Lytechinus pictus: one gene and its partner. The protein of the gene in region 2 binds, or shares a complex with, the protein of the main gene of each other region. Links are inferred from orthologs where the notes say so. Each region holds a gene or a part of one and is shown on either strand. Other genes may lie near its edges. The genes, in order: G protein pathway suppressor 2-like and histone deacetylase 3-like.

Region 1 (16,209 bases), on a different chromosome or scaffold from region 2:
TTTCACAAAAAGCTGACAAATTACCAGACTTTTCCAAATTTTCCTGACCTTTACAAATATTTACGATCCCCTCTCATTGGAAAAAAACAAACATTTATTTCATGAAATTGTAATCCTATGATCATGTACCTGTTCCTTTGTCTCTTCCAATGACAATGTCTCAGCTTCTTGTTTCTTCCTTAATCTCTCTTGTTCTTGTTTCTTTCTTTCTATCGCCTTGTCTGCTTCTTCTTCCTCTGAAATTGAAAAAGAAAACATTGTTCAGTTCAAATCACTTCTCATAAATACCTAACCAACTGATCAAATTCAAAAGAAATGTGATATTTGTCAGTCATGCATTGAAGAGAAAATAATCCATTCGGAAAATACTCTTGTACTTGGTGTCATTCCAGGGGGGTGTTTCACAAAGATTTTAAGTATGACTTACACGTAGGTAGCACTTAAATGCCGAGGCGTACAAGATATGCAATGTGCAATCTTATTGATCAATACGCAGTAGTTCGCTTCCTAGCATGATCTGACCAATGCGGTCATGCCTTTTATACCACACACAGCGAGGCATTTAAGTGCGACTCTATGTCATACTTAAATCTTTGTGAAAAACCCCCAGGCATTAAATGTCTATATATCTTTAGGGCAGGGCCCCTTTTATAGGGCACCTTTCTACATCTCAATACAAATGGAATACTTCAAAAGAGCACAAATAAGACCAAGATCAATAAGATAGGCATAGAGATCAATCGATAGGGCATCCAAGGTCATGGCTTTAGACAGTCACGGATCAATTTAAGCCCTGTATCACAATAATGAATAATAATAGTAATGATAATAATAATAATGATAACACTAATAATGATAATAACAACAACAACAATAATAATTATAGCTGGATATATATGAGCTTTTTGCCCGAGGATACAAAGCGCTTGCAAATATTACCTCGGCTTTAGCTCGAGCTACCATCACCGGAGCTCAGTGCATGCAAGGAATTAATCCTGCTGGGTACCCATTCACCTCACCTGGGTCGATTGCAGCAGTGTGGATAAATTTCTTGCTGAAGAAAACACACCATGGCTAGGATTCGAACCCACAACCCTCTGTTTGAAAGGCGAGAGTCAGAACCACTAGACCACGACGTGCCCACATGTTTGTTATTTACATCCAATAAAGAGACATGTCAGAAATTTACATTACTCATCAAGTGTGTTCTCTATTTTTATAGCTTTGGTGCATAATGCCCAGAAAAAAAAAGGGTGGGTTGTGGGTTTATGGACTCACCTTGGCGTTTTCTGTCTCTCTCTTTGACGACGTGCACCCGGAGGGCTGCAGCCATAGCCTTGCTGAGTTTGGGTCTCTCCAACAGAGCAGGCATGGTGCTTTTGTTATGGTTGTTCGCCAGGTCAAAGGTCAAGGGTGGCAACAATCTGAGACAAATAATAATTAAATGCAACATTTATATAGTGCAGTGCTTAATATGTTTCTAAGTGCTGCATACTATTACCATGGGGCAGGGGCGCTCAAGCATTAAAGGAATTTCTTCCTACTGGGTACCCATGTACTACATCTGGGTGGAGAGTGTCAATCTAAAAATGCCTTGCCACTGGACGCCAGTGCTACAGTGAGATTCAAACCCCAGACATTGTGGTTCAATGTGTGGAGACTTATCCACTGAACCACAACACCTTTTCAATATTATAAATTACTGTAGAAGGGAGTGATTGTGGAAAAATCTAGCATAACAGAAGGGTAGAACACCCTGACCAATAGTTTGCTGCAAAAATTCAAGAAGATATAATAACAAGATATTGGTGAAAGTTTCAGGAAAATCTGTCAAATATTATGAAAGTTATTTGAATTTGAAGCTTTTGATTTGTGATGTCATACGAGCAGCTACAATATTCATAAACTGCATAAATTTCAATGGTTCATGATGACTACAAATTTTCTTCTTTTAAAAGTGTATGTGAAATAATTTGTCTGTTGATAATGATGAAGGTACAATAAAACTCATTTTCATTTTCTGAGGAAATAAAATTTCATTGATTTTTGTAATTCACGATACATAGTAAGCTGCTCGCATATGATGTCACAAATAAAAAAATAATATTCTAATAAGTAATAACTTTGGAAATCTTCGATTTTATTTAAACCTCCACCAATATTGTTTTATTATTTATTCTGCTATTTTTACAATAAACTTTTTGTCAGGCTGAACTTTCCCTTTAAGTTTTTATCAATTCTGAGAGAAAGATAATTCAAATACCGGTATTTTATATATTCAGCTTTGTGATAAGTCATGATAAATGATTGTAGAAGAAAGTGAACTTTGTGACAAATATAGTGAGTGATTGTATTACCGACCGGCAGGGTTGTAATAAAAAACGTTTTTTATAAAAAAAAAACAAATAAAACGTTTTTTATTGTTTTAAAACGTTTTAAATCGTTTTAAAACGTTTTTTTTCCAACGAACGATGTAATTTTCCTGTAAATCAATTAAATTATACACTTAATACAATATGATTTAAGCTCTTGATGTTTTAATTACATTTTTGGAGTATTAAGAGATGACTACAATTTTTGTTACTGAATTTTCAACAGAAAAGTTCATATTTTTCCCAAAATTACTAAATCAAGGAAATTGAATGCCAAAAAATTAAGTTGACATTTTATAAGTTTATTCCTCATACATGTAGTCTCAGGTTTTTTTTAGTCTTATCAATCTATAGGGGTAAGAAGAAGTTGCACTATGTAAGAAAACAACATAATCTATAGACTATAGGCTTTCAAAGCTTAATTTCATTTACTCAATATGCTTTATTTCATTTGTATCAATTATACAAATTTTAAGTAATAATAATGATAATAATAGTCCGCTTTTATATAGCGCTTAATACATTGGAACGACGTGTCTAAGCGCTTTACAGATATATTATTAACGCAGTCATCGGAATCAATCAGTCATTCCCGCACACAATGTATGCACATCCTCAACTCCCTGGGTAGTATTTCAGTCAGTCGCTAGTGAGGCGCACACAGTACTGGACAAGCTACAATGACTTTCACATCCTACCGGGTACCCACAAGTGCATGAAATATAAGTTTGGGTTTAAATCTATAAATATTAGGCCCTTGAACTGCTTATTTCTTTAATTGAGGAATTTTAATCAAATTGTTTTTTTCAATGTTTGTTTTAACTGTTTTTTTTTAAATTTCTTATGTACAGTTTTGTGGTTACTTTTGGGTTTTTTTATCGTTTTTTAATGGAAATTATTGGCAATAATTTTCCAATCATTAACAAAAAGTACAAATATTGATACAGATAAAATGTTGGCGAAAAATTTGCATTGGCTTTACTTGTGTAATATCATGGAGCTATCAATGTGTTGATAGCTCCATGGTAATATCATAACCGCATATCCATGCATGTATCCAAAAAATAGTCTTGAACAATATGGCGTGGCCCTGCTGTTCTTATGGATTTATCATAGACATTTTTAAGGGGGCCATTACAGTCCCCTGGGATTGTTAGGGTTAAAGGTCAAATCCACCCCAGAAAAATGCTGATTTGAATCAGTAGAGAAAATTCAAACAAGCATAATGCTGAAAATTTCATCGAAATCGGATGTAAAATAAGAAAGTTATGACATTTTAAAGTTTCGCTTATTTTTCACAAAACATTTATAACAACTCAGTGATGTGCAAATGAGGGAGTTGATGATGTCCCTCACTCACTATTTCTTTTGTTTTTTTAATTGTTTGAACAATAAAATATTTCAATTTATACAGATTTGATAATAATGACCAACTTAACTGAACCAAAAAATGTTAAAACAATGGTAGTTCCACTCATGTTCAGGGAGGAAAAAAAAATATATTTCACATGACAATGAGAAAATAACGACGTACAAAATAAATAGTGAGTGATGTCATCAGTCCCCTCATTTGCATACCAACCAGTATGCGCATATAACTGTTTTGCGAAATTAAGCGAAACTTTAAAATGTCATCACTTTATTATTTTACATCCGATTTTGATGAAATTTTCAGCATAATACCTTTTTCTTGGGGTGGACTTGTCCTTTAAGGTTTGCTAGCTGATTATCTTATTCTGAATTAAACTACTTTTCTTCATCTTTACAAAGCGCAAAGTTTCACCTACTTTCGTGTGTACCTCAAGGTTACAATGTCAGTTATACAGTCTATTTGCAAAATATTATTGTGCTTGTGCAACACTTCCATTTCATTCAAGTACTACTATTACATATTTGAGCTTAGTTTAAATAGTGTTTCTTTCCCTGTCTAAAAGTGAGCACAACACTCAAATGCTTGTTAAAATGAGAATATATAGATTGATCTACATAATTGAACAGGAGAAAAGGAACATGACAAAGCAATGGAAAAGGGGAGAATAAGGGGGGAAAGAGAGAGGAGAAAAAGAGTGGTGGTGAGAAAGAGATTTAGTTAGAAGAAAATAATATACCACTTAAGAAAAAAAGTATAAAAAATATATTCATGTAAAATCACATCCATGCATATTTATAACACACAAGTCTATGAGGTGTTTTAAAACACGTTTTTTTTGTAAAAAAAACGGGTGTTTTAAAACGCGTTTTAAAACATGTTTTAAAACACACCGTTTAAAACGTGCCAACCCTGCCGACCGGCCTTGTATTACGGAACGCGCGCATCATACGCATCAGAAAATAATATTACGCTCAAAATTTTGCAACATCCTTCCAAAGAGAACTTGAATAGAAAGATGATGAAAAATTGTAAAAAACCCATTTTCAAAGTCTTAATATTCTTAAAATAATAAAATATGGTCAAAATAGCTCATCAGTGATTTTGTTGTTTTCTCAACTTTTCCCATAGATAACACACGTTCGGTAATACGATACCTTTTTCAAGTGACCCAAATATTTCACATGCGAAGAGGGGTCCGATTGGAAGCTAATATCGTAAAAAGGAAAAACGATTTCGGCAAAATTTTTACATATTGATATTTTGTAGGTAATTGTGTATTTATGGTGAAAGTTTGGTGAATTTCATGAAAATAATGTGTTTGATATGATTGAATTCATGAAAAGTGTTCGGTAATACGATCCACTACCATACCTAGGCTAGCATTAGACCAAAAGCTTCGGTCTCTGTTATGTTGGTTGTTCAGCTGAACTCCGTTGGCTTCACTCACCAAATACAGAGACCGAAGTTCTAGCGCGATCTGTACAGGGGACTCAATGGCCATATGTTTATGTACTTAAGATCGGATAAAACGGGGAAGTGAATTTGCGCGACAGCCGAGGTAAGTCACTGTTTTTGTTCCTTTTAACTTGATTTTTCTCCGTTTTTTGGCAAATGCCAAGAGGGAATATTAATTTGCATTTTGGTCGCGTTAATTTTCAAAATTTTTATTCATTAAAGACAAAAATTGAAGAGCCCCGACGGGGGGATTTTGCATTGCAAGTCCCCTAATGGTGGCTGCACGCTAGCGAGCCGTCTGTGTACAAGGAGAAATTAAAAAAATAAAAAAAAGTTAAAAAACTCCTCGAAACTGGATAAGTATTGGAAATGTGAACCTGTGAAGTACAAGTTTGACGCTGACCCACCAGGACATGATCCGGCCAACCTAAAGAGGAGACAGAATTTGGAACTGAATATAGAGTCTTAGACTGCGTTCAGAAGCATCCATAAGTATCCATAACTTAAGTAAGAAACAGACGGCTGCCAGCTGTCTAGGCTAGCATAAGAGCCTATTTTAAAATATTTTCAAGTTTTGATATAAAATCTCCCATAAACGAAAAGTTCTCTCCTTCTACCCAGTCTCGATCGGCCATTTTGTTACGATTTTTAACAAAAATGGCCGATCGAGACGGGGGTAGGAGAGAACTTTTCGTTTTTTTGAGGTTCCAGTCTGTGCCCAGACATGCCAGATGTCAGGAAACTGCCACTGCACTCGTTAGACCTTCATCCATATAATCGTGGTAGTTGTATACTTTCTGTTTTTACAATTCATTTGGAGAAATATTTAGACCATAAATCACCCTAGTCCGGTGACTATGGTCAAATACACGGTAAGCTCCTGGGCTCCCTGGGACTGGGTTAGATTGGAAGCAGACCCAATTTTGCATCATTCAATCAATTATTCATAGAATCATACATGTCATTACTACTAAACTAAAGTAACGCCGGTACCGGTACCACGCCGGTGTAAAGTAATCAAATCGCTCACGGAATCTAAAGCGACAACATTAAGAATAAGATGTTTAAGAATAGCAAGAAGAAGAAGAAAAGAAACAAAGTGCCAACTTACTACATAGGGCCTACAGGAAATCAAAACTACAGTACCGGTACACACAGTTGCAGTACGTGGGCGGCCTGCCTACACAAATATAATACCAACGAATGAAGCTGGCATGCAGGATCTCGATCAGGAATTACCGGAATTAACGACGCAGGAATGCCAATTCGAAGAATGTCAAAATCGTAACGACCAGTGTAAGTAATGTGCCAAAATATTTTTTTCGAGAAAATCTAACTTTGAAAAATTAATCAAATCAAAAGAAACGATTCAGTCTAACTTGTGCTTTATTATCTTAATCAGGAACAAGAGGAGTTATATGTCTTTTCCCCTCACCTCTACATTCAACTTTCAACATCGTTATAGTCAGCGTGGCATCGTGCCGGCGTTTTGTCCCAATCTTTTTCTTTTCCCACTTTTTCATCCAGAATTTCTTCTTTTTATGTGCATTTTTTACGATACAGATGAACTGACTGTTAAGATAACAGTAAAGAAGCCAGGAGCGTTATTTACTTTGCATTACCGAAAACCCGATCTATTTCCAAGCATTCCAAGAACCTGTATCTGTTATATAGGGGGGGGGGGGATATGGATATCAAAATATTTTGCGATATGACCGGCGATAAGAAAAGCTCCTCTATCCTGTCCAGGTGGCTTCAAGAAAATATAAGAAACGCCTTTTTACTTCAATGGGGACTTCAAAATGGTGAATTTTCCAATATATGTAAATAGGCAAAGTACGGAAAAAGGGGTGGGATAACTTCAAGAGCCCATGCAAGAGGGTAAATAGGCTTTGATGTGCCAGGACTTTTCCCTATGTAGTTGATAGAGAAAAGGCTCTTCTATCCTGTCCAAGTGGTTTCAAGAAAGTAAAAGTGACTTTATGATACAGCAGAAACGCCAATTTGCTTCAATGGGGGCTTCAAAATGGTGAATTTTCCAATTACATATAAATATAGGCACTACGGAAAAGGAGGGTAGGCTTTGATGTGCCAGGACTTTTCCCTATGTAGTTGATAGAGAAAAGGCTCTTCTATCCTGTCTAAGTGGTTTTCAAGAAAATAAAAGTGACTTTAAGGTACAGCAGAAACGCAGAAATCAATGTAGCATAATGCTGAAAATTTCATCAAAATCGGATGTAAAATAATAAAGTTATGGCGTTTTAAAATTTCACTTATGATCATCAAACAGCTAGTGATATGCACAACTCAGTGACATGAAACAGTCGATGATGTCCCTCACTCACTATTTCTTTTGTTGTTTGTTGTTTGAATTATACAATATTTCATTTTTTTACAAATTTGACAATAAGGACCAACTTGACCGAACCATATATTCAGTGGCGTAGCTAGGATTTTTTCCTGGGGGGCACTGGGGGTCCTTGCTTTTTCAGGGGGGCACCATTTTTCTGTGTGTGTGTGTCACAAGGGCGGATCCGATTCTCGCCAATAGGGGATATGGGGCACGAAATCATCTTCACCTTTCTTTTCTCCGATCAGTCACTTCTTAGCTTTATTCTTACAAAACAACATAAATATAAAATAATCTAATTTGCCCTACATAAAAAGTGCGAGCGCGAAGCGCGAGCAATTTTTGTTTATTTTCATGTATTTTGTCCTGGAAATTTTAACATTCTGGGCAATGTTTGTGATCGTGAACAAGATGTATGTAACTACAGTGCGTGAAGATAATTACTGCGAATGCCAAGCGCGAGCAGGAATGTTTAACAAATGTTTTAGCATATGATCGAAAAGGGACCTGTTCGTTACCCACGAAGACGGTACATATGCCAATATTGGGAGCGCGAGGCGCGAGCTAAAAATTCTTGACATGCCGACCTAAAAAATAGTCATTCTAAGAACTTTTGTAATCATAAATGGGATAGGTATGTAACTAACAATTGATGCGAGCGCGAAGCGCGAGCGGAAGAAAATTGATATTTTAGACCTAAAAGCGGGACACTCTATTCATATTGTGTAAATCATGAATAGGATATGGCTAATTGGGTATCATCAATAAAGCGAGCGTGAAGCGCAAGCAGACAATTATTGATATTCTGGAACTGGATAATTTAAGCACATTTTAAATAAAGAACATGCAGGCTATCTCAATAAACATGCGTGTGCATGTTTTAGATTTAGACCTAGAATCTGGGCATTCTGAATACATTTTTTAATCATGATTCATGAAGATCAATAATGCAAGCGCGAGCTGAAAACATTTTAATATTCCGATCTGAAAAAGGTCAATTTAAACACTATTTCAAGCACTGTGTAGGAAAATTGTGAAGTGGATATGGAACACACTTAATGAATGATGCAAGAGCGAAACGCGAGCTGATGTTTTTTTGTTATTATTATAACAAAGGACCGGGACATTCTAAGGACATTTTGTCATCATATGAAAATTATTCCTAAGCTTGTCGATATTCCATTCTGAAAAGACCCAATTTAGTTATTAGGAATTCATGATAATGTTATTTTCTTATTTGTTAATCTAATATGCGTTAATGACAGCGTGGAATTCGTTGTTTATAAGGCTTGAAAAATTGAAATTTTAAGTATTTTGTAATTATGAATACAAGGAATTAATAACAATTAATGCGAGCGCAAATCGCGAGCTGAATTTTTAAAATAAAAGATAATGAAAAGGGAGCTTGTTCGGTTATAGAATTGATATAGAGTATATACTCACAAATCTAAATGCGAGCGCGCTAATTTGTAGACCAACGCTTGACAATCACATCTGAAAATTGATATTTTTATAACTTTATTGGACACACGAAGACAATTGAAAAATCATGCAACCACGCAGCGCGAGCTTAAAATATTGATATGTAGACCATAAAACGGACATTTTACAGAGCACTTAAATTTGTAAATGAAAAAAAAATGAAAGCTCGAGCTAAAATATGTTTTGTATATTGACTTCAAAACTTGTTATGTTAAGCTCCATATCAGCCTATATTGCGCAAGTAATGAATCTCATCGAACAGGTAATTCGAGCGCGAAGCGCGAGCGAAATTTTTATATTGTAACATGAAATATTTTTGTGCAAGTCTTCCCATCACATTATTTTATTCATTCGTCTTCCTCTTCTATTTTCCTCTTCATTTTTCCTTCTGTCTTTCCCCTTCTTTTTCTTTTCTTCTTTCTCCTTTTTTTTCTTTGCTCCGGCAATTTTTTCAGGGGGGCACACCAAATCTCAGGACCCCCCAGGCCCCCCCCCCCGTAGCTACGCCACTGCATATATTAAACAATGCTAATTCCACATGTTTGGGAGGAAGTAATCGTTGTTTCACCTGACAATGAGGAGAAAATTAGAATATTTCATTTTTCATATAATAAAATACAAAAGAGATAGTGAGTGAATGACGCCATCGGTCTCCTCATTTGCATACTGACCAGAATGTGCATATAACTATTTTGTGAAACTAAGAGAAACTTTAAAATGTCATAACTTTCTTGTTTTACATCAGATTTTGATGAAATTTTCAGTGTTATACTTGTTGGATTTTTCTCTTTTTATTCAAATCAACTTTTTGTTTGGGTGGACTTGTCCTTTAACTATTTTTGCCGAATACCTCTCTTTTTAAAGAATATTTATGATTCCGGCAAGTCAATAGGTCAAAGTTATAGCGGTTGCTGTAAAAATATTTCAGTAGCCTATAATTATAACAAAAATTTGCACCTTGTTTGTTGAATTGTTTGCCTTCAAAACATTTTAATGCATTACATTCTAATACAAGATAGCGCAGCGTGCAATTAAGAGATCGACTGTTAATCCATAGACATCTTAAACATAAATTTTCGATCTCTCTTTCTGTCGAATATAATGATTTTGGCATTTTGTTTGTCTTCCAAAGTAATTATCTCCGTTTCTGAACGGCCAGTGGAGCAATATGAATAAAATGTTGTTTTATTTCTGATCATCCCATTTCTTGTTTCGACCCCGATTGAGGGGTAATCATGACATTGAAGAGAATGTCACGTGACCTCATTAATGATCATACGTGGAATCAGTGGCCCAGATTCTGAACTCGGGTTTATCATAAACCCTGGTTTAGATTCCTCACAGGCAGGATGGTTGCAGTGAGCTAGTGGGCTAATCATTACATTGAACAGAATGTCACGTGATCATACGTGGAATCAGTGGCCCATATTGATCTGAACACGGGTTTATCATAAACCCTGGTTTCATTAACTGAGTAATAGTTTAATGGAGAGCAAATTGCGGCACAAATCTCTATTAGAATGTTCAATTATTCATTAACTCTTATGACGCTAAAAAATCATGTATAACTGTTTCAGAATGATAACTGAAATATATTTAGTTTCATAATTATGAAACATTAAGGGAAACAAAATCGTAAATATTAGAAATATAAGCAGAATTCTTGACTTTTTGGCTCCCCATAGTTTAGCACAGAGTTAAAAAGAGGGAACTGCTTCAAAATGTGGATTTCACAAGTGAGCAGACGAAACGAGTGAAAATAATTATGTTAGGCATATAATGCATACCTATTATAGTCTGCTGTGCAAACCCTTCGCTCGAGCATAAAGGGTCTGAATGTGCAGCCTACAACGCCCTAGGCCCAATGTATGTGCTAGTCTTTTTTGTGATAAGGGTCTCTGCCTGCAGACTACCTATTGATGCCAGAACAATCCTAGGAATCTCGAAATAAAACCATTGACCTGTGGGCAAAAGTGGAAAAAAAAATCATTTTTTAAATATTTTTTTCATAGTTCAGAATTTTATGCGCAAAACGCGCTGAAAATGACAATTTTGTATGTTTGATAGTATAAAATTTAGTGGTTTCATAAAGGGCTTTTTAATACTTACTATAAAGATAAATTGCATATCATAAATTTTTCAATTTTTTGAAAATTTGTTGATGTCACATCTCCACTTTCCTTTTTCTTATGATACAACATGCATAGGCGGCGGAAGCGGGGGGACGGGGTGGTGGACCTGTCCCCCCTAAATTTGAGAATTTGAGGCGGGGGGTGGCCCCCCTAAATTTTTAGTTTAGTTTTTTTTTTTTTTTGCTTGTCAAATTTTTTTTGGTGACCCCCCCCCCCTAAAATTTAGGTTGATAACTTTTTTTTGCTTGTCAATTATTTTACCTGTGTCCATCACAAAATTTCAGGTGGGCCCCCAATAAATTTTTTGGCTTCCGCCGCCAATGATAGCAAATCATAAATGTTTCATTTTGTCATGTGTAAATGATGTTTCTCCATTATAATGAAATAAGAGTTGCGGCAATAAATAACTAATGCACTTAATCAGTTGTCTTAGTTCTTGGTAGAAAATTTTTGAATAAACCTAATTTTATATAGTAAAATACAAATAAAGAACAAGTGGGGAATATGACATCATCAGCCCACCTAATGAATATTCAGCATAAGGGCATGCCTAGAACAGTAGAACACGATTCACAGGAATAATGCAAAATTCAATAACTTTGTTATCCGATTTTGATCAAATCATTTCAGCGTTTTGCTCTGTGAATTTTACTCTATTTATTGAAATATAAATATTTCCAGCCTGGACCAGCCCTTTAAACTTTGTTGCCCTGAATATTTTCACTGGGGGAGATCCACTGATCTCTCCCAGATTGATATGTCCCTGATGGTGATGGTTTGGATAATGGACACGAGCTCAGTGTATAAAGTACTCTGATCGATCTAACAAAAGTTAGCTGTACTGAGAATTTTCGGGGAATTCTCTCTATACACAAAAGAATATTTAGGAGGAGGATCTGCAAACAAAACTAAAGATTAGTAGATTGGCCACGCAATAAACGGTTCCGGACGAGCAAGGAGGGAGCTACCTTCAATTCTTTACTTTCATTCAATTTATTTTATTTTTTATTATTTTGAATCTTACATTTTAAAAGTATTTTTGAATTTATTCAAATTATTTTTATTACATAAAAATATTATTACATATATTACACAAATTATTTAGCTGTTGTATTCTTACTCTAACAAAATGATAACCTTAAATCAAAATCTTTATTGCCAAATCGGCCTCTTTTAATTGCATTGCTACAAACCATGCCTGGTGTAAGTAGTAAGGGCGTCAAAAACGCTTAAATTGGGCTTTAATGATGAAAATTATGATTAAAAAGTAATGAAATTTATTTTGTTAAGAGTATATAAGAAGAATGATTCCCTCATATTTGTTATCTACTGTTGAACAAGAGTAATATAATGATGAATATAACCAGGTGACTCCTGATAAATGAGCCGCAGAATGATTCGTGCGTGTAATGTGTTGCGGCATGTATTAATGCGTGGGAGACGTGTACCGTGAGTGGAAAGTGCGCGCTAGCTGTGTGTGCCTGTGGCGGGCCTGAGTGTAGTGTATGCATGTGCCAGTTGATCGGATGACATGATCATCATGTCGTGAAATGATTGGAGCTTGTGTTGTATGACTATGATGTTGGTCCCAAAGTCTGCACACCTAACAATTTTAGTTAAGATTTAAGATGAATTTTTTTCTATTTAATAGAATCTTTCAGTTATGTTCCTTATATTAAGTGTACCAAATATTAGACAGGAATAACCGTTTCTGGGGATTTATTCAACAATTTCTGACATTTTACTGTAATCCCCATTTACCGACGGTAGGGTGTACGTGTAGGCTCGCATGTGTTCTCATTCCCTCCCTTTTGTCAATTCACAGTCCAAAGTTTGATGTAATTTTACACATCGAATTTACAATCTAAGGATGTATAGGCCTAAACAACAAACTTTTAAAACTTGATATTTCTATGTTTAAATACTTTAAACGATATAGATGAAAAAGGCATGAAAAATATACTTTACCGATGTTTAATTGGGTTGAACACGATAAAAATGGTCAAAATGGCAGCCAAATTATAAAATATTTACAAACGAACGTCAACAATCACGAATGTGATATCGATATTGCTTTCGATATTATACGATCTGCTCCATATGCGAACGAAACCGAAGATAAACGATACTAGTTATACTAGTACTAGTACTAGTTATAATCGCGATATATCGATTCGGGACATTAAGTTAATAACGATAATGACGTCATTCAAGATGGCAACTTGCAAGAAAAACCGTCAGGTCAGGTGAAAATGTCTTAGATGACAGATTTCTCAATCATCCAGAGGATTTTTTTCAATAACTCCGGCCCAAGGTATGCAATTACTTAAGTTATTTATATTTCCCTGATAATGGAAACCATGAAACTTTCAATTTTGCTTAAAAAACAGTTTTAAATCGCGATCTATAAAACGCTAGTTCACTATACGTTGGCTGTAGGTACGGGGCCCCATCCCCTTCAGTCTATGTATGGTGAGTGGAGCCAACGTAGTTCAGCGGAACAACCAAAATACAGAGACTGAAGCTTTTGGTCTAACCAAATATATGCAAATACCTCATAAAAATTTGAAAGAAATATAGGAATTTTTTGGAAAAAACCTTGGGCAGTCATTTTCAGATTGAAATGTGTCTGCGCACCCATTAACTTTGCACACGATTCAGGGATTTTGACGAGAAGGGCAGCAATTTGAGGTCACATGCAATGCCCTAAAGCCAAGGCTAAATTCATTATTTAACTTCCCACCATTTTGAGTAAGATTTTTAAATGGATATCTGTTAACGTATTGCATGTGTAAAGTCTGTGTTCGTTGGCTGCGTATCTTTTACTAGAATCGCGCGTGTGCTCAGATAAGGGGGACTGGGCAGACTTGGGGGAACTTGCCATATTTTGTCTTTTGAGCAAGCCCCTGGGCCTGACAGTAGGCCCTATATGGAAAAGATTGAAAAGGAAACCACATTTATTGCTGAATTTTTTGTTTCTTAAAATAGCACAAAGCCAGAATTCTGAATGTTGGACTGACATTCAATTTTAATTTTATTGTCTTGAAAACTAACATTAGACCCCTTACTTAGCTAGGCCCTAGACTAACATTAATGTTAGACCCAAGTTAAGGGTGAATGCAGGGAGACCAATACTAGGGTGTCTGAAGCCACACTAAAAAGTGTCGGCATAAAACAGGCTGATTTAGGGGAAAATATGGCACATTTTTTCGGGGAAGTTCAGGCTACTAGAAAAATATGATCTGAATTGATTATTAACTTGTGTTTGGCATGTATGGAAAGAGAAAATTCAGGGGCTTCTTTTGACAGTAAGGACAAGTTTATATGATCATTTTAAATAAGGATTTAGAGATAAATTGCAAACCCTTATTTTTGTGTGTGTTGAGATTGCCATTTCTCCATGCGTTTTCTATGGGAAAATGAAATTTCTGTTTTGCACAATTTTTTTCACTTTGTTGCAATTTTTCATTGTGATCTGGTTTCCAAATCTTTATAAAAATCATACCATCAGATAGAGCATAAAAAATCCTATTGGACTCTTTATGGACAAGTTTTGGGCATTAATAATAAATTTATAACAGCTCTCGGAAGCTAAAAATTTGGATTTGTGTGTGTCCATTTCTTAACTACACAGTCTATGGCAGAGAAATGCCGAAAATTGACCTAATTTCATCTTTTTTGCAGCCAATAATTGGACTTTTTCAAAAATGTTACATTTCTGTCAGTCTGAAGGTAATTTCTCTTCAAATTCACAAAGAAAATGTGATATTTTCTTGAAATAAAAAAAATAATTTTTTTCTCCAGACACCCTACCAATACAGTCAGGTTTGTCTGCTTAACAAAATTGCTGGAAATGGCCATGAATTGTCTTTTTGTTTCTGTTAAATCTGACAGTTGATCCCAAAAAAAGGCTTGGCCTAATATATAAATTTTAATTGAAATGTAAAATTCTAGCTTTTAAAATTTCTTCTTCACGGCTATCTAAATGCTGATTTTCTTCACGTCTTTTCTTCCATTTTACAGAAAACAGCTCAGAAGGGTGGCCGCCCCACCGGAAAGGGCAAGAAGAAGAAGCAGACTTTGAAGTTCACTATCGACTGCACCCTGCCAGTGGAAGATGGCATCATGGATGCATCTAACTTTGTAAGTTTACGATACATCCTCCCTCTTTTTCCTATTTTCCCTTTCTATATACCCCCCCTTCCTATCTTTCCCTCTACCCATCCGAGAATTTGGAGAAAAGTTGATAAAGGTAATACAAGTTCCTATTTAGCCACTTTCTGAAAATTATATGGAAGATGATAATTGTAAAGAGAGAAATTGTAGGTAGGTAATCTTATTCCTTATAAATGCACATTGGATGGTTACCCAGGTGGTATTTCAATGATAATGTGACACGTTCCCCTTTTAATTTGTGAATTAGCTTGCTTGGGAAAATGATTAATCCAGAAACTTGAATAATTTTTTAGAATCGAAGAACAAGTTATCACAAAAATAGAAAAATTGATTTACTGCATGTTTAGGAGAGAAAGGAAATCAGCTGTTCAAATGTGCTCATATAGTATGTAGGCTTCCAGATGTGTGGATGCCTTTGAAGGAGAATTAAGAAGGGATGAAGCTGTTAAAAGCAATGTACAGGTAACTCTGCCTTAGTCGAGCTTCCAGGAGTCAAATATTGAAGCAATTTTTTAGACCAGATTATTCAAAACATGTGTAATATACCTCTTCAAATTGAATTTCTCCAGTCCAACAGATTTCTGTGGTCTCAAAATGTTTGACTAAGGGAGAGTTTTCTGTATGTCACAAAGCCTATCTGAGCACAACATTTGTGTTCTTGCTTTACATTGTGTGCGACTCTTGTGCAATTCAGACGAGCGATATTAACTTCAACAAATGTGGTTCAGGGTAACATTCCTTGATCCTACCTAGGGACATCTTCCCTAAACAAAGAGCTCATCATTGTTAGGGGCATCTTCCCTAACATGGAGCATCTCCTCTTCTCTCTCCCCCCTTCATCATCTCTCTCGTCTTCTCTCTGGGCTGGAC
Region 2 (16,547 bases):
GTGCGCGTGTTTAGAGTTAGACCTATCTGGGCATTGTAAATACATTTTTTAATTATAAAAATCAATAATGAAAAAGGGTGGATTTAAACACTATTTTAAGTACTGCATCAGAAAATTCTGAAGTGGGGGGGGGGGGGTCTACAAAACATCGTTCATTTTCATTACATTTCTGTCATTTATCAACTTACCACTAGATTTCCAGGAGGTGCTGCCTATGGAAAATAACACATGCAGCAACTCCCGCTTCCCAGGGCCATGGGGCAGGGCGAAAAAGACCGTGAAATTTGATTTCTATTGTCTGACTTGTAATTCGGGCGCGCGCACACTGTCTTGATTCGACATAAAACCTGGAAGTTTCAAGTCCAACCACACCCATGTACCTCCCTGCTATCGAGTAGTGTGTAAACTATGGTTATCACGTATCGCGCGCGACCACGCCTGTATCGGAGTGCCGGAGCTTGATCGAGTCGCGTTATATTATTGGAATATGTGAAAGACTATAAATGATTTGCGATTGTCAGATGTGATAATTATGTACATTACATAACATATATAAAAAAAATACAAAGGGAACATGTTTTCGTGGGGGTGCTGCCTGTGGAAAATAATACACGCAGCACCCCCAGCACCCCCGCTTCCCAGGTCCCTGCTTATCAATAGGTCATACCTCTCATCTTGTTCCTTGGTACTGTTCCTAACATCAGGGTCTTGTTCTTCAATATTCTCTAGACTGAGAAGATCTGGAGGAACATCCTGCATCTGTACACTAGGTGCGTGAGCTATACACTTAAGATTGTCCTGCACTTGTTGCCTCACCTGGTCAATGTACTGTGGGAAAACAACGTCAGAGAAATTCTTGTTATGGGTCATTCCATCTGGATTCACCCAGTGGTTGCACCCGACCGTCTCAGAATTCGTTGTAATTTGGTACACATAAAATTTACCATGGCCCACGTAAAAAACAAAAAAAATAAGTCCAATTGGTCCGTCGGTTCTCGCGCTACGGCCCGCCCTTTTCTCCTTGTTTTGACAAAAATGGGCGTGACCTTCAACTTTCAATGGCCACTGCGTCGTGATGTGTTGACCAATTTTCATGAAACTGGTACCATTTATTAGGAAATTCAGAGAGGAATCCAAAACATGCATCAAATAATGTATTGGAGCGATTTATAAGGTTGTGACCTTTGACCTTTACTTTGACCTTGAGTTTGACCTTGAGTTTAATATTCATGTTAGTAAAAGTGTTTACCAGTTACATGATTACTTCCAATCTTAAGTTACAGTATGCAAACACATGAAAAAAAATTAAGCTCATCAGTTCACAAATGAAACATTAAACATTTATGCTCATGAATAGGTATCTGTTTAGGCATTTTGATGTTCAGAAATATATATCATATATATATATATATATTCTTGTTAGTAAAGTGTTTACTTTTATCATCAAATTGTTGAGTATATGCCTATTTACTAACAAGAATATATATATATATATAATATATATTGCTGAACATCAAAATGCCTAAACAGATACCTATTTATGAGCATAAATGTTTAATGTTTCATTTGTGAACTGATGAGCTTAATTTCTTTTCATGTGCACGCATACTGAAACTTAAGATTGGAAGAAATCATGTAACTGGTAAACACTTTACTAACATGAATATCAGTATGTAGGACTAGAGTGAAATTTCATGGTATCTTTGGAAGAGTTTTAAAAGGTGAAGAAATAAAATATCATCATTGATTTTAACAAATTTTGTCAATATCATACTAATAATTACCATACACGAAAATCAAGTTAAAAAATTATTTGTCCGGGGGTCAAACTCAAGGTCAAAGTTAACGACCTCATAAATCGCTCCAATACATTATTTGATGCATGTTTTGGATTCCTCTCTGAATTTCCTAATAAATGGTACCAGTTTCATGAAAATTGGTCAACACGTTACGACGCAGTGGCCATTGAAAGTTGAAGGTCACGCCCATTTTTGTCAAAACAAGGAGAAAAGGGCGGGCCGAAGCGCGAGAACCGACGGACCAATTGGACTTATTTTTTTTGTTTTGTGCGTGGGCCATGGTGAATTTTATGTGTACCAATTTACAACGAATTCCAAGAGGGTCGGGTGCAAAATTGCACATTCATTGGGTGAATTGGCATGGAATGACCCTTATATGACCTGGCAATCACGATACAGATGTGAAATATTGTGTCAACGCTTCAATGGATAAAATTACACATCATCTCTCATATTTTAACAAACAGGGGTCTTGACATTTTCCCAATATCAGACCCAGCTCAAAATGTCAGCAGGCTGTGAAACCCTGGCATCCTCAATTCGACCAACAACATAGTCAATAGAGTCAAAATTTTCTAACCTAACGACTTTGAATGTACATTGTCCATTTGCTTGTATAAGATGGAAGCAAATTTGAAAAGTGAATATTGATGATTATTCATAAGGGACAATAATATACAAATAGCGAATAGGCATGAGTGCGAGATTTCGCATGAGGTGAAAGAAAGATGCTCTATTCAACGAGGCGTTAGCCGAGTTGAATAGAGTGTTTCTTTTTTTCATCGAATGCGAAATCTCGCACCATTGCACGAATATGAATCTTCGCTATTTGTGTTGTACAACGCCTCGGAATCTTGTGAAAATATGAAGAAAAAAATGAGAGTTTTTCCCTGCAGTAATCTATGAAAAGGGAGCAAAAATATTGAAAGCGAAAAGCAAAAGCCCACATGACCTTGGGCAGCATTGCGCATTTAGCCAGCAGGCTATATGCGTATTGCACCTTCATTTTTACTGAGCGCAATGAATAAAATCATATTGTGACGTCACCTCCTAAAGCCGTGCAACGGTACATTTTGAATGGTACGTCGTGTGTGCAACAGTACGAATGTTTGACATTCAATCTCCCATTTGCTTGCGTACAACAAGCTAAGTAGGCGTTGTACAAATTGCTTTATCAGCTGGCGATTCAATACCAAAATAAGCACTCTCATCTTTCATAACTTAATCTACACTGACACACTGCATCATTAAAAAAAATGCCACTGAAATCACACAATTAACAAAATGAGGAATGATAAGGAAAACAAACTGGACTGCATTTCTTTAATTCAATTCTGTCCGAATTCACACATCCAATGAGTTTTTATACTGAACCAAAGTCAGCACTCAATACAAATAAAATTGCATGATATCCCGAAGAACTATAGGAAGTGAAGATTTGTATATATTCAAAAGCTAACGAGTTTCACTTCTTAGTCATTATTTACAATCATTTGCTTCGTTTGTATTGTTCTCCAACTGCAGCAAATGTTGTGTACTGTTTGATTGCGACCTCAACAATACATGTATAGTGCGAATTGACAGAAGAGAAGAGGAACTACAAAAGAAAAATCAGCAACAATTCTGTGAAAAGTAACACAAGACTTACTGCTTTGGTGTTGAGATTTTCTATTCTAGTTGTGGTGTCTGGATGCAATGTGAAATCTGGAGCAAAGTACTCAAAGTAATCTAAAGAAAATGAAATTAATCGATCATTAAGGATCAAGATTGGATATTTAGTCATTCATTTATCAATTCATTCAGACTTCAGAAGTTCTTCAATATCAATTATTCCCCTTCCAAGTATCAGCGTTTGGCACTTTTCCAAATTAGCCATATAGTGTAGCCATACTTCTACTCTATACTTCATGCACAATAACATAAATGTTATCCCTAAAGTTAATTATCATAAATAATAGAAATAATGATGAATAATTTCAAACAAAATAAAAGACATACACATATATAGACCTCAATTTCCCACAGTGGTTTGTTATACCATTTCCTGATTTAATTTCCCTCCTATTTTCTTTTAAGATTGATCCCGCACAGAATTAATTTTGGAGTAACTTAAAAGAAAAAAGAAAACAAGACATATAGATGTAGGCCCAATGCATAAAGGAGGATTAATCCCCACCCTCCTAGTTTTATTTCCCCTTCTTTATTATCTAACAGCTTGCATCAACAATGAATCTAATCAATTTATCATAGGCATGGACATGGGTAATGCGCACTCAAAACCTAGATGGGGGATTAACCTTCCGCTCCCCAACACCCATTATGGTTTCAACCACTTCTGTTAAAGATAAATGCCAGTTGTGGTAACGATTTCAAAATGAGTTCGTACAGAATCCAATGAAATGACCACCAAAGTGTCTGTTTGTATAAATAAATAATATGTGCCAAAGGATTTTGGAAGAAATTGTGTAATTGCTGAGAAATTAGCAAATAAGCACGGGATTCGGGTCAAGCGTCGGGCCGACATTCAAAGCAAAAATAATACACTGTCCCACGTGCGCTTATCTGTGTTGGTGATCTTCGGTGTGAACATTTTTCAGCGCAGATTTCAAGATTTCACAAAGTTGAGTTTATGTAACTGTACCAGATCTAGATCCTCGATGATAGAGTGACGATTAAGCCTGGTTTTACAGACTTTCTCGTGAAATCAGTGTTTACTGCAACTACTTTCATTTATCTTTAAGGCCATCATTTAGATAATCACAAATGATATTCTGTATCAAAGCTTTGAAAATATCATAAGGCCTTATACAATAAACATCAAATTTATGCATTTATACCCTGAATACAATATCATAATTATGTAACATTTGAATATACATGTACTTGCCAGTTCTATGTAGCAATATTATTTTCACAATTTTCAGCTACATGTAGCAGTTTGTTTTTCTTAGAATCATAAGGTCAATTCCAGGAAATAAATATGTTTAACTATCATTACCTGCGTGTACGGCCTTTCTGAAATGATCTGCGTGTTTCCTAGTTCGTACAAAATATTGTAAAGCTCTAAAATTATGGCTTGAACAGTTTATGAAGTAAAATTCAAAAATTGATAAAAGGGACAAGTGTGTGTGTGGGGTGGGGGAGACTAAAAGATAAAAGTTGATTATTTAATGTAATTGCCGATAATGCAATCACTTTACTTACCATTGTAAGGAAGCTCATTGCTGATATCATCATTGAGTAATAACGATGTTTCATATGTCCTGTAAAAATCACAATTTAACAAAATTAACACTTAACCTATTATATAAATAAAAGGTGAAAAAATGTCAAATTTTCTATTTCCTTTCTTCAAAATACACTTCTACAAAAGAAATATATTACTTGTGGGACTGATATTCAAAATATATATAAAAGAGTAACTGGACTATAAGATACAGGGTTGACTGGATTTACTGGATACATTTTTTTTCTTTCTTTATTTGCTTTCTCACTTCTTGACAATACAGAAAACCCCACAGTGAAAACTTCAATATATACAATAAATCACAATGCTTTGAAATATAATTGTTTGTTTGATCGTTCATTTTCATATTCACATAAAAAACAGGTCATTACAATATCCATAAAATACATGCAATCATATACATATTGATATAAATAAAATACATCTAAAAAACCACAGAATTTCCCTACAATGCCTTTCAATTAAGACATAGATGGTTCAAACATACCAATTTATCAGTTGAAAATGAAAAAAAAATGGAAACTTAAAAAAATAAGGCAATGTGGCCCTGTTGAATTAGTTCCCTTACACGCAGTACAATAAAGTAGTATATATCATAGATAATAATACTGAACGACATCAAAATCTTTGAAAACAAAAAATATAAAAAACTATGAAGACATATCAGGAACCTTAGGAACAGCACTGTCCATTCATATAGCACAAGACAGTCATCGAACATACATTTGGTTAATCCCCGCACCGCATTAGCTCATAAATCAATCAGACACCGTGGATCAGATGTTTGGAATTCTCTTCCACATAATATTCGAAATTTGAAAACCTCACATTCTTTTAAATTGGCTGTAAAGCACAATCTCCTTCCAAAATTACAGGATCTGTAAAGTGCTAGTAACGTATACATGTAAGTAATTTTGTTTTCTTTCTTTCTTTTCTCCATAACTGAAGATTGAGAAGTTAACATTGTTGAATCACTATTACATATATTCATAACAACTTGAAACTTAATTGTTATATCTTGGCAGTCTATCACTTTTATATTCTTCTCTTTCTTTCCTCTCTTCCTTATTCTTACATTTTTATTTTGTTTTCTAGGATGCAAAACCAGTTTAAAGGTGCTTCAACCAATCAAGCTTTTAGCTTATGTTGCAACACCCTTGTATGTTCATTATTTACTTGTGTTTTATATATACTTATATATTATCTGTGTATTCTTTTACATTATACATTGTGGACATGCATGAATAAATAAATAAATAATAATAATTAGGAACCTGCTTACTCAAAAGATAGACATCAATACTCACCAACACCTTGCTACATTCCTGACTGTGTAACCGCCCCCACCCATCACTAGTAGGGGTACATTAAATTGTTTGACGTACTCTACACATTCCCCATGGCCTTTGATACTGAGACTGAAGCACCCTAATCTGTCACAGCCTAAAGAGTCTGCTCCACACTGTCGAGATTAAAACAAAGATTCATCTTAGAAATGAGATTAACAAGTGGGAGTCAGTTGGTGCTTTAAGGCCACCGCACACCTTACGACCCAACTGGTCTACGACTGGCTTGCGAATGAGTTAGTAGAGATGAATCGCAAGGTAGTCATAGGCCTCAACACCGCACACCTTGCGATCCAAATACCATGCTGTCTGTGACTCACGCATGCGCTTTTTGCTTTTTGCCATAGCAACTGAGAAAATGGCGCTTAATTACTACAGCATATGCGCGATGTATATCATATACGCGTCGTGCAACTCTGCTGTCTAATTGGCTGGAAGTTGGATTGAGCTTGCGATTCAGTCATAAGGATTCGACATGTCAAATCCTTACAATTTTCCTTGCGACTTGTCTCTGACTGGTCTGCGACTCTCAAGCTGACAAGAGCTGTGACGTCACATCTCCCCTCACTCAGTCACAGGCCAGTCGTAGACCAGTCGGGTCATAAGATGTGCAGTGGCCTTTAGATTCTTAACTTCTTTGTCAGATGGAATGTAAATGAATACACATATAAAGAGCTGCCATCCTTCAAAATAGCCAATATTCATTCTGTACCTCCAAAATTGGTATTTCTTCATCAGAATTTGCATTTTTTTGCAGACATTTTTTGTTTTAATTTTTTTATACAATTTCTTTGATTTCTAACCCTTACCCTAACCATCCTCATGCAACAAAAATGCACAAGTACTTTCCTCTACAATCTAGTCACTTCTATTACTAAATTCATGTATACTAGATTCTACATTGTTTAAAGGTAAAATAAAGTACTTGCAGCAAACAATTATTTCATGAGAAAGCCTTTAAAATCAAGATAAATTACCACCATATTATCATAGATCTAGATCTGTTACATTGAAATCAACTTATCTTTGTGAAATCATGAAATCTTAGCTGAAAACCGATAATTCTAATGATAACTAACACAAAAGGGAGTAGGTGGGACAGTGTATTAATATTGCTTGGAAAAATACCCAACATTTTATGGAATTCTGGGAATATTTTGCTCATTTCTCAACAATTGCACTTTTTTTCCAGAGCCATTTATCACATATTTTTATCTATACATACATAGACTTGGGTGATCATTTTATTGGATTCTCTTCGAACTCATTTTGAGATCATTACCACAACTGGTATTTATCTTTTAATGTGTAAATGTTTGGATACAATATCATGCATATTCCTTCGCAAGTAATTCTTTCACCCCTCTTTTTTCCTTTTATTATTTCTATTTTCATTCCTGTCACAGTTTCATAACAAATAATGATTTTTTTTTCACAGTTGGCAGCATAGCTTGATGTGTATTTATTGAGGGTTTTTTATGCATAAGAATAAAAAGATCTACACTTTGAAAGTGAATTTGAGAGACTTGCCTGCAAGACTATACACGTAGGTCTATAGAACTCCATGACACTCTGTATAACTGGTTTAAAGAGACCGGAGTACATGAGATCGTCTATGCCATCCTTGAGAGGCACGTTGATGGAGTAGTAACGCCCGTTCTCTAAGCCTACCTCATACATGTCACCTGGAAGAAAAGAAATAAACAGTAAACTGCTGATTGGTCTACAAAACCGCTGCGCTACTTTGCGTTTGGTCTCACCCCAGATGGTCTAATCCTACTTAACCTACAACCAGTTTTTTTTACTACAACCAGTTTGTCTACTAACCATTTGGTCTAATTATCATTATTCCCATTTAGCATTTTGTCTTATTTCCAGTTAGGCTCTACCCATTTTGTTCAATATCCACTTGGTCTAACACCACTTGATGGAATCTACATCATACATATCAATTGATGGGAAAGAAAATTCAGAGTTGGGAATTGAATGAAATAAAAAATGAATATACCCCATTTATTGATTATCGATTTACAATAATAAGTATACTCATTATTACACGCCTTTTACCTACACATTAGCCCTGTTTCACAAATACTTACAACTATGGTGACTGTACTATTATTGTAACTCACATAAAAGCCTTGATTGTGATTGGCTACTGAGCCCTGTTACCACTGTAGTTGCCATAATGGCAAAGTTACCAAAGTTGTAACTCTTTATGAAACAGGCCCATTACCTGTGCCTGGAAAGAAGTGATTGCCATATTTATGGAATGATACTGTCATGACCCTGTCTGTGAGGTAGAATGCTTCCTGAACACCATCTCCATGATGGATGTCTATATCAATGTACAGCACTCTAGGATGGTATCTAGCAGAGAAGGGAACAAGAATGGGGAATCTCATGAAATAATGTGCACAATGATGATTAAGTTATGTGAAAAAGGAATTGAAAAATGACAGAAAAGATTTAATTTGAAAGAATTATGATGTAGTTCATCTAGCTTAAATGAAATTACATTGTTTGTTCATCTTTATCATATCAGCAAATATAAAACGGTATTAACAAAAAGGCAATTTTCTTCATGATTCACCATATAAAGCTGAGAAAATAATAAGATACACTGTACAACCTGTTATACAGCAGATTGGGGAAAAGGGCATGCTAGCACTGCTATGTCTTAAGCTAAATGTATAACTTTAATTATATAGGAAATTCTGAATCTGACAATATTACTAAGATAACAATACTTCAAAAATGTTAAGCAAAGATACAAAACCTATGAACAAGATTATTTTCAAGATCGTAAATCAAATAGAAACATGGCTTACTTGAGAATTTCTAGAATAGCAATGACAATATCATTGACATAGCAGAACCCGGAAGCCTCAAACTTCTTTGCATGATGAAGCCCACCAGCCCAGTTTACTGCAATGTCACATAGCTGCAATGGAAACAAATTTTCTAACAATTTACAGTTCAATTCCATTCAATACAATTCAGATTTATTCCCACTATAAAAACATAAAAATTAAATCAGTGATATAAAAAAAGATATTGTACATGAAGAGGGATGAAAAGATAACATAGAGATTTCACAAATTGGCCCCAGCATGATTCTTCCAAAATCTATTTCAAAACATGTTGCTCAAAATCACAACATTTTTAATATTGGTATCATTCCTGAAAATTATGAGATAAATATATAGTACAGTCTGACATAATAGTCTCAATAAAAATGAGAAGTACACTGGTGGAGAAGTCAGAGAGTTGTCAACATCCTATCTCTATAGGCCTACAGTTTCCGTGAAATCCTTGATTTTGATTGGCTGGAAAGCATTGGTCTCTAACTGTTACAATCAGGACTGTCATAGAATAAACAGTTATCTTAGCTGACAAGCTTCATAAACTGTATATACATTACATATTGTTCTCTTATGGGACACCAAAAGGCAAAACCATCCCCCCCCCCAAAAAAAAAAAATCACTTTCCTATACTAACATGTATTCATTTATATACTAAAATATGTTTAAATTCTCACATTGTTGTTCAGTTTGGTTGCTGCTTCTAACGATGCCCCAGTGTACATTGAACAGAAGTCAAAGAGACCTGGAAACACTGGACAGTCGTCACCGACGTTGAAATGACTTAAACTCTTGGTGAAGTTCTGGATGTTCTGAGGTGTCACTCTTTGTAGAAAGTCGATGTAGTCATCTGAATGGAATCTGCACATGTCGTGAGCTGTGGCCCTGTATGGCCTGTAAATCTAGAACAGAAACAAACAAAAAAATGCAGTTAAGTCTGTGATAGTCAACCTTCTGTAAGTTGAATCGTCACCTACACTGAATCAATTCTTCAGACAAGATCAAAACATTATTAACACATTTTGACTAAGTCAAACAGATTTCTGATTCTATTAAAACTCAACAACATTAAAATCCTCCCTATGACAAGGTTAAGTTACAACTGATAAGAGATCATTTTGCATTTTCAAGGGCATTAAAATGAGTTGGTTGGGAGATCTTACCTGCATTTTCTTGTAGAGCCCATAGTTGAGTACTAGATTGTGTGTGAGTGCTAATCTGTGAGGTTTCATGGGATGACCAGGACCTGAGAAGTAAAAGTAAAAGAGATAAAGTAAGTAAAAGAGATAAAGCAATGGTCAATTCTAACTGGTCTCAAACTAAATGACGAGAAAACAGAGGTTTTACAAATAGCATCTCGATTTCATAGAAGATTACAACTTCCCCTGATTAAGATGTTTCTATTGTTCCTAGTGTCTTGGCCAGAAATATGGGTGTTCTGTTTGATCAGCATATGGCATTGGACATATTTGTCTCTGGAAAGTAAACTTGGAAAGATATGTTTGTGTTTGGACTCTAAAACAACAAAGAAACTTGTTCAGGCTCTCGTGACATGTCACTTGCATTTTTGTAATAGTTTGCTTTGTAACATGGCTGAAGTAATACAGAACTCTGCTGCAAGATTGATAGCCCGAACTAAGAAGTATTCTCACATAACCCGTCCTGATCTGATGCATATGCGAAACGATCTCGATGTTATCATGTTGAATATTCATTAATTGAGCTTCGATTTCCGCGCAATTTGCGTTTGCGATGCTTTGGAATCGGCAGTGAATTAATATGTAAATCACCAATTTTGAGACCGATAGAAGCGTAGAAAAGAAGTGAAACTGGGTGAAAAGTAAGAATATTAGTTCTTATTGCTTTTAAAACTTGTGTTGTTTTGGGGAAAATTTTGGCATGTTTATCAACCCAAATTCGTGTGACAGACGAGGACAAATTACATGTCCATCGTCAAAACTCATACATTGTGCAAGGTTAGTACAGCATACTAACCTCACATGTGTGTAAGTGACTGAGCTTAGGCTTAAGACTTATTTGTTCGTAGACCAAAAGCTTCGGTCTCTGTTATGTTGGTTGTTCAGCTGAACTCCGTTGGCTTCACTCACCAAATACAGAGACTGAAGTTCTAGCGCGATCTGTACAGGGGACTCAATGGCCATATGTTTATGTACTTAAGATCGGATAAAACGGGGAAGTGAATTTGCGCGACAGCCGAGGTAAGTCACTATTTTTGTTCCTTTTAACTTGATTTTTTTCCGTTTTTTGGCAATTGATGCCAAGAGGGAATATCAATTTGCATTTTGGTCGCGTGAATTTTCAAAATTTTTACTCATTAAAGACAAAAATTGAAGAGCCCCGACGGGGGGATTTTGCATTGCAAGTCCCCTAATGGTGGCTGCACGCTAGCGAGCCGTCTGTGTATGAGGAGAAATTAAAAAAAAAAAAAAATGTTAAAAAACTCCTCGAAACAGACGGCTGCCAGCTGTCTAATTTGTTCGCAACTTGCCTCCACCCTGACCCACCCCCCCCCCCCACACCCAGACCAATATTGAATATAGCGCAGGCTCATTTGCTCTATCATTTGACTCAATTTATGACTTTTTAATAAAAATGTTGGCAACAGCTGCCGTGACCCCCCGGCCATGACCTGGGCTGGCCTTCCATCCATTCCAACACGTTCACTCCCCCAAAAATCATTCATTGCCTGTTGCCACTGCCAGTTCTTTGTTTCGTGATTGAATGGAGTGCGCGAGATGGGGGATGACTTCGCCGCGGCCGCCTCCAGCTCCAAACAATGTTATGATAAATAAAACTTCTTTTTAACTGCATGAAAGCTCCTGATACAGATCATACATATCCATCCACCTTTGACTAACCATAGTGAAAATTCCCGACATCTGCATCGTAGAAATAAGCTATTGTTTTACTCGACATCGTGGAACAATATAAGTCGATAGGAGTCTCAATTGAAGTTCAATCATTCCAACTAAATTGTGTTCTTGGTATGAATTCATTGGGAAAATTAATGAAACTTTGAAAATTAATTTGCTGACTTACCATCTGCATGTAAATATACAAATAAGATTAAGTAAAATTTTACAATTATATCACCTTTTTTTAGGTTTTACAAACCAGACTTTTAAATAATAAATGAATATTACATGTAGAGCCTGTTTAGAAAATAAAGATGGCAGCGCCCTTGGGATCAATTTCGGTGCGACTAAGCACTGCAAGCTTCACATTTAAACGACGTAAAAACAGACCAGCAATTACTAAGTCAGCTGAGGGTACAACAAGTGATCTATTGTCAACGGAAAAATGCATCGAAAATAGCAAAACAAGTCAAGAAATAACGTGTGTTCCAGTTATAGTTGAATTCCGACGTCTCCTCGAGAGTGTCAAGTACAAAAGCATTGACGTCGTGCCCGGGGTAAGTGTTCACAGCGGGAGCGACAGGAGTTTGCTGCCGGAACGTCGGGGGTGCAGATCTGATGTTACGTGATGGTACATATTGATCATGCACGTGCACTTGAGCAGAGGCGCAATTGCGCAACAATTGAACAGGGTACTTTTATTCTAATGGGAGGCAAGCCATGTGGTCTCACTTAGTTAGAGTTAGACTTAACATTTGTTCTATCTCAATGAAATCAGACTAGGCCCTATATTGTTTAAGAAATAAAGTTAAATTATGATGGGGTGACCGACCATAATTTGCGGACATTTTAAAAATTATCATGAAGTTGATTTTCAATCAAATTTTCTCACACACAGTTCACATAAAAATTAATCAAAATCATACATACCAAACGGAAGGCAAGATCCCAAAGTCAAATTAGCTTGACAGAATTATAAAGTAGGCCAAGCCAAGGCCAGGGTTTCGCCGGTATCGCAATCTCAAATTCCATGACGATCGACTAGTAGTGTGCGCTCGGCTAACAAAGTGTCATAAAAAGTGTGACCTTAATTTGCGCACGATCGTTTTGCAAAGCTTTCGAAAATAAATCAAGCAGACAAAGGTAATAGTATTAGATGGAGGTTAAAATGCTATAAATTCGGTTGGTATAACTATAAGTATATCATTTTACTTTTTATACTTGTTTGGATACCTCTGCTTGCAAACTGGCGATTTCTGGAAGCTTGTCGAGAAGTTTGGATTTTCTCGGAGCGGAAGCAAATGGTAACAAAATTTGCAGATGTTTTGCCAATATTTTCACAAATTGAGACCTTACCTTCAAGAAAATTACGGTACCATACCAAGTAATTTTGCATCTGTTTAGTGTTGGTGATATCAGTTTTTCAAGATTTTGATTCGATATTGGGATTCTACCGTGCACAAAATTAGGTAATGCATGAATTAAGGTCACACCACCATACAACAAAGTTAGAGACTACTAGTACGGTACTAAAGTTAGTTTCCAACTCAATCCATTCCAAGGTTCAATAATACGCCAGTGGCGGACTGTATCAGACTGGAACTTGGAAGAAGAAAAGGCAGAAGAAGAAGATTGTTCTTTTCTTTTCTTTCTTTTCCTCTCATTTACTTTAGAATTCTAATCTAATAGGAGGAATAGAATATGGTATAATGTTAAATCTAAGGTGTACTTCAGAAATTATGGGAGGATGGTTGCTTTGTCATTTTTTGTGGCTCTGTGTTTTTAAATATAACCATCACAAAGCTAGAAACTTCAAAGTTATAACTTGATCTATACAGGGACTCAATGCCCATATGTTTATGTATTAAGTTCGGATTTAAGTGGGAGTTGCGCGACAACAGCCGAAGTAAGTCACTGGTTTTTTCCCTTATAAGTTTATTTTTTCCGTTTTGGTGCATTTCAGGCCAAACCGGAATAATAATCTTGCTATAGGTGCAGTACTTTTTGTTTAAATGTTTTTTATTTGCTAAAAAATAATAGATCCCCGCTGGGGGGGGGGGGTTATATTGCAAACCCCCTAATGGCGGCTGCACCTTTGTGAGCAGTCTGTGTACGAGGAGAAATAAAAAAAAAATTAAAAATGCTTTAAAAAATGACAATGCTTGTCCAATCAAGAGGAGCTTCTCAAGGTCAACTTGAGAACTAAGAGGGAGGAGCCCAGTGAGAAGAAAGATGACTTCATCTGCTGCTGTTCTAAGGAGACCAAGGATTTTTTTGAACAGCTGATGTTGTGCCTAGTCAAGTCTTCTCTCCATCCCTTTTGTAAGGTGTACTCAGGGCTCGACACTAGCGGCGGTCCGACGGTCCCAGACCGGTAAAAATCGCTGTCGGACCAGTAGATTTTCAGAAATAGGAAGATTTACTGGTCCGACATGACCAGTAAAAAATATCATTGTCGGGCCAGTAATTTTTCCAAAAATAGCAAGATTTAAGGGTCCGACATGACCAGTAATAAAATCCATTGTTGGGCCAATAACTTTTCCAGAAATTGTCAAATTTCACTGCAAACCATTTCCCCCCGGTAAATTCTGTCATTCACACACAGAATACACACACTAGAGAAGCATACAGTGTACATGTAGCCAGCTACACAACCCACGTGGTAAATTCTCTACTGGCTGCGCGAACGAAGCTTGGCTAAACTCTGGCAGAAATATCTCACAAGAACTGTCAAAATTCACGGTTCATACTCATGAAAGGCTCTTATAATGTCCATATTTCCTAAAAATTGGAGTAACTCTGTCATTTGTAAGCAGTAAAAGGAGAAATTTTCACTTCTGTTTTGGTTCAAACAGATCGGGTTTCGGGTGATAGCGTCTGAATACATAATAGCCCCACATATGCATTTATGTGTGTGTTGATACACTTGGTTTCTGACTTTCTTTCGTAGCTATTTTAATTGAGCCAAAAAGAAACTGATAAATTATTTGATGATAGTTTTAGCTCTCTTCCTCTGTTTTCTTCCTATCTTTCTTTCCTTCTTTCTTTTCAATCTTTCTTTGTTTCTTCCCTCTCTTCTTTCATTTTTTTGTTACTGTCTTTCTTTTTTTAATTTCCTTTTTTCTTTAATTTGTTCTTTCATTCTTTCTTTCCTTTAAAAAAATATTTTTCTCTATTTCTTTTTTCTCTTTCTTTCTTTCTTTCTTTTTCTTTCTTTCTTTCTTTCTTTCTTTCTTTCTTTCTTTCTTTCTTTCTTTCTTTCTTTCTTTCTTTCTTTCTTTCTTTCTTTCTTCCTTCCTTCCTTCCTTCCTTCCTTCCTTCCTTCCTCCCTCCCTCCCTCCCTCCCTCCCTCCCTCCCTCCCTCCCTCCCTCCCTCCCTCCCTCCCTCCCTCCCTCCCTCCCTCCCTCCCTCCCTCCCTCCCTCCCTCCCTCCCTCCCTCCCTCCCTCCCTCCCTCCCTCCCTCCCTCCCTCCCTCCCTCCCTCCCTCCCTCCCTCCCTCCCTCCCTCCCTCCCTCCCTCCCTCCCTCCCTCCCTCCCTCCCTCCCTCCCTCCCTCCCTCCCTCCCTCCCTCCCTCCCTCCCTCCCTCCCTCCCTCCCTCCCTCCCTCCCTCCCTCCCTCCCTCCCTCCCTCCCTCCCTCCCTCCCTCCCTCCCTCCCTCCCTCCCTCCCTCCCTCCCTTCCTTTCTCTCTTTCGTTCTTTCTTTCTTCCTTTCTTCCTTCCTTTCTTTCTTTTTGATATTTTTTTTTCTTTAATTCTTGAGTCCATCCATCCTATATTCATCTCTTCTCTCATTCCTTTCTTTCCTTCCTTATTTTTACCCTTTTCTCTCCTTCATTCTTTGTTACTCTCTTTGTTTCTTTCTTCCTTCCATCCATCATTTATTTACCCTTTCTTGTTTTTTATTTCTTCCTTCTTCCAGCCCTTTCTCTCTTTCTTACATTCATTCTTCTTCTATCTGTCTTGTTCTTTCCTTTTTCCCTTTGTTAAATCTATCCTTTCACCTACCTTTTTTTACTGCTTGCTTCCTTTCTCTCCTTTATTCTTTCATTCCTTCCTTTCTTTGTCTCTCAGTCTTTCTTTTTTTCTTCCTTCATCTATTCTTTTACCTTTTCTTTTTTTATATTGCTTGCTTCTTTCTTTCCTTCCCTTCCTTTATTTATTTACTTCTATCTATCATTTTACCTTTCCTTTATTCCTTCCTTAATTCCTTTCAATCCTTCCTTCCTCTCATTCTTTCTTTTGTCCTTTCCATCTCTCCTTTTTTCCTTTCTTTTTTATTGCTTCTTCTTTCTTTCCTTTACTACTTACTAGATTTGTTCTTTCTTTCTGTATTGCTTCATTTCTTTCCTTCATTTCTTTTTTTTTTCATTTCCTTCTTTCTTTATTTTTGTTCCTTCTTTATTCCTTCTTTA

Evidence for each region.
Region 1: histone deacetylase 3-like (region 2) and G protein pathway suppressor 2-like share a complex: the UniProt entries of both Homo sapiens proteins name them as parts of the N-Cor repressor complex. The link is inferred for Lytechinus pictus from reciprocal best matches to the Homo sapiens genes HDAC3 and GPS2.

Annotation. Positions count from the first base shown.
Region 1 is NC_087258.1:9,339,347-9,355,555, forward strand, and holds the start of G protein pathway suppressor 2-like, read right to left. Parts: upstream 6,395-16,209; 5' UTR 6,311-6,394; intron 1,425-6,310; 5' UTR 1,373-1,424; coding exon 1,279-1,372; intron 237-1,278; coding exon 130-236; intron 1-129. Other genes in the region: large ribosomal subunit protein eL22, read left to right, coding at 12,358-12,366, 15,187-15,306. UniProt on the Homo sapiens protein: Key regulator of inflammation, lipid metabolism and mitochondrion homeostasis that acts by inhibiting the activity of the ubiquitin-conjugating enzyme UBE2N/Ubc13, thereby inhibiting 'Lys-63'-linked ubiquitination.
Region 2 is NC_087255.1:32,548,927-32,565,473, forward strand, and holds the start of histone deacetylase 3-like, read right to left. Parts: upstream 12,273-16,547; 5' UTR 12,195-12,272; coding exon 12,137-12,194; intron 10,504-12,136; coding exon 10,421-10,503; intron 10,160-10,420; coding exon 9,935-10,159; intron 9,337-9,934; coding exon 9,224-9,336; intron 8,763-9,223; coding exon 8,629-8,762; intron 8,078-8,628; coding exon 7,923-8,077; intron 6,509-7,922; coding exon 6,354-6,508; intron 5,063-6,353; coding exon 5,004-5,062; intron 3,528-5,003; coding exon 3,448-3,527; intron 829-3,447; coding exon 668-828; intron 1-667. Other genes in the region: uncharacterized protein LOC129271199, read left to right, coding at 12,448-12,690. UniProt on the Homo sapiens protein: Histone deacetylase that catalyzes the deacetylation of lysine residues on the N-terminal part of the core histones (H2A, H2B, H3 and H4), and some other non-histone substrates.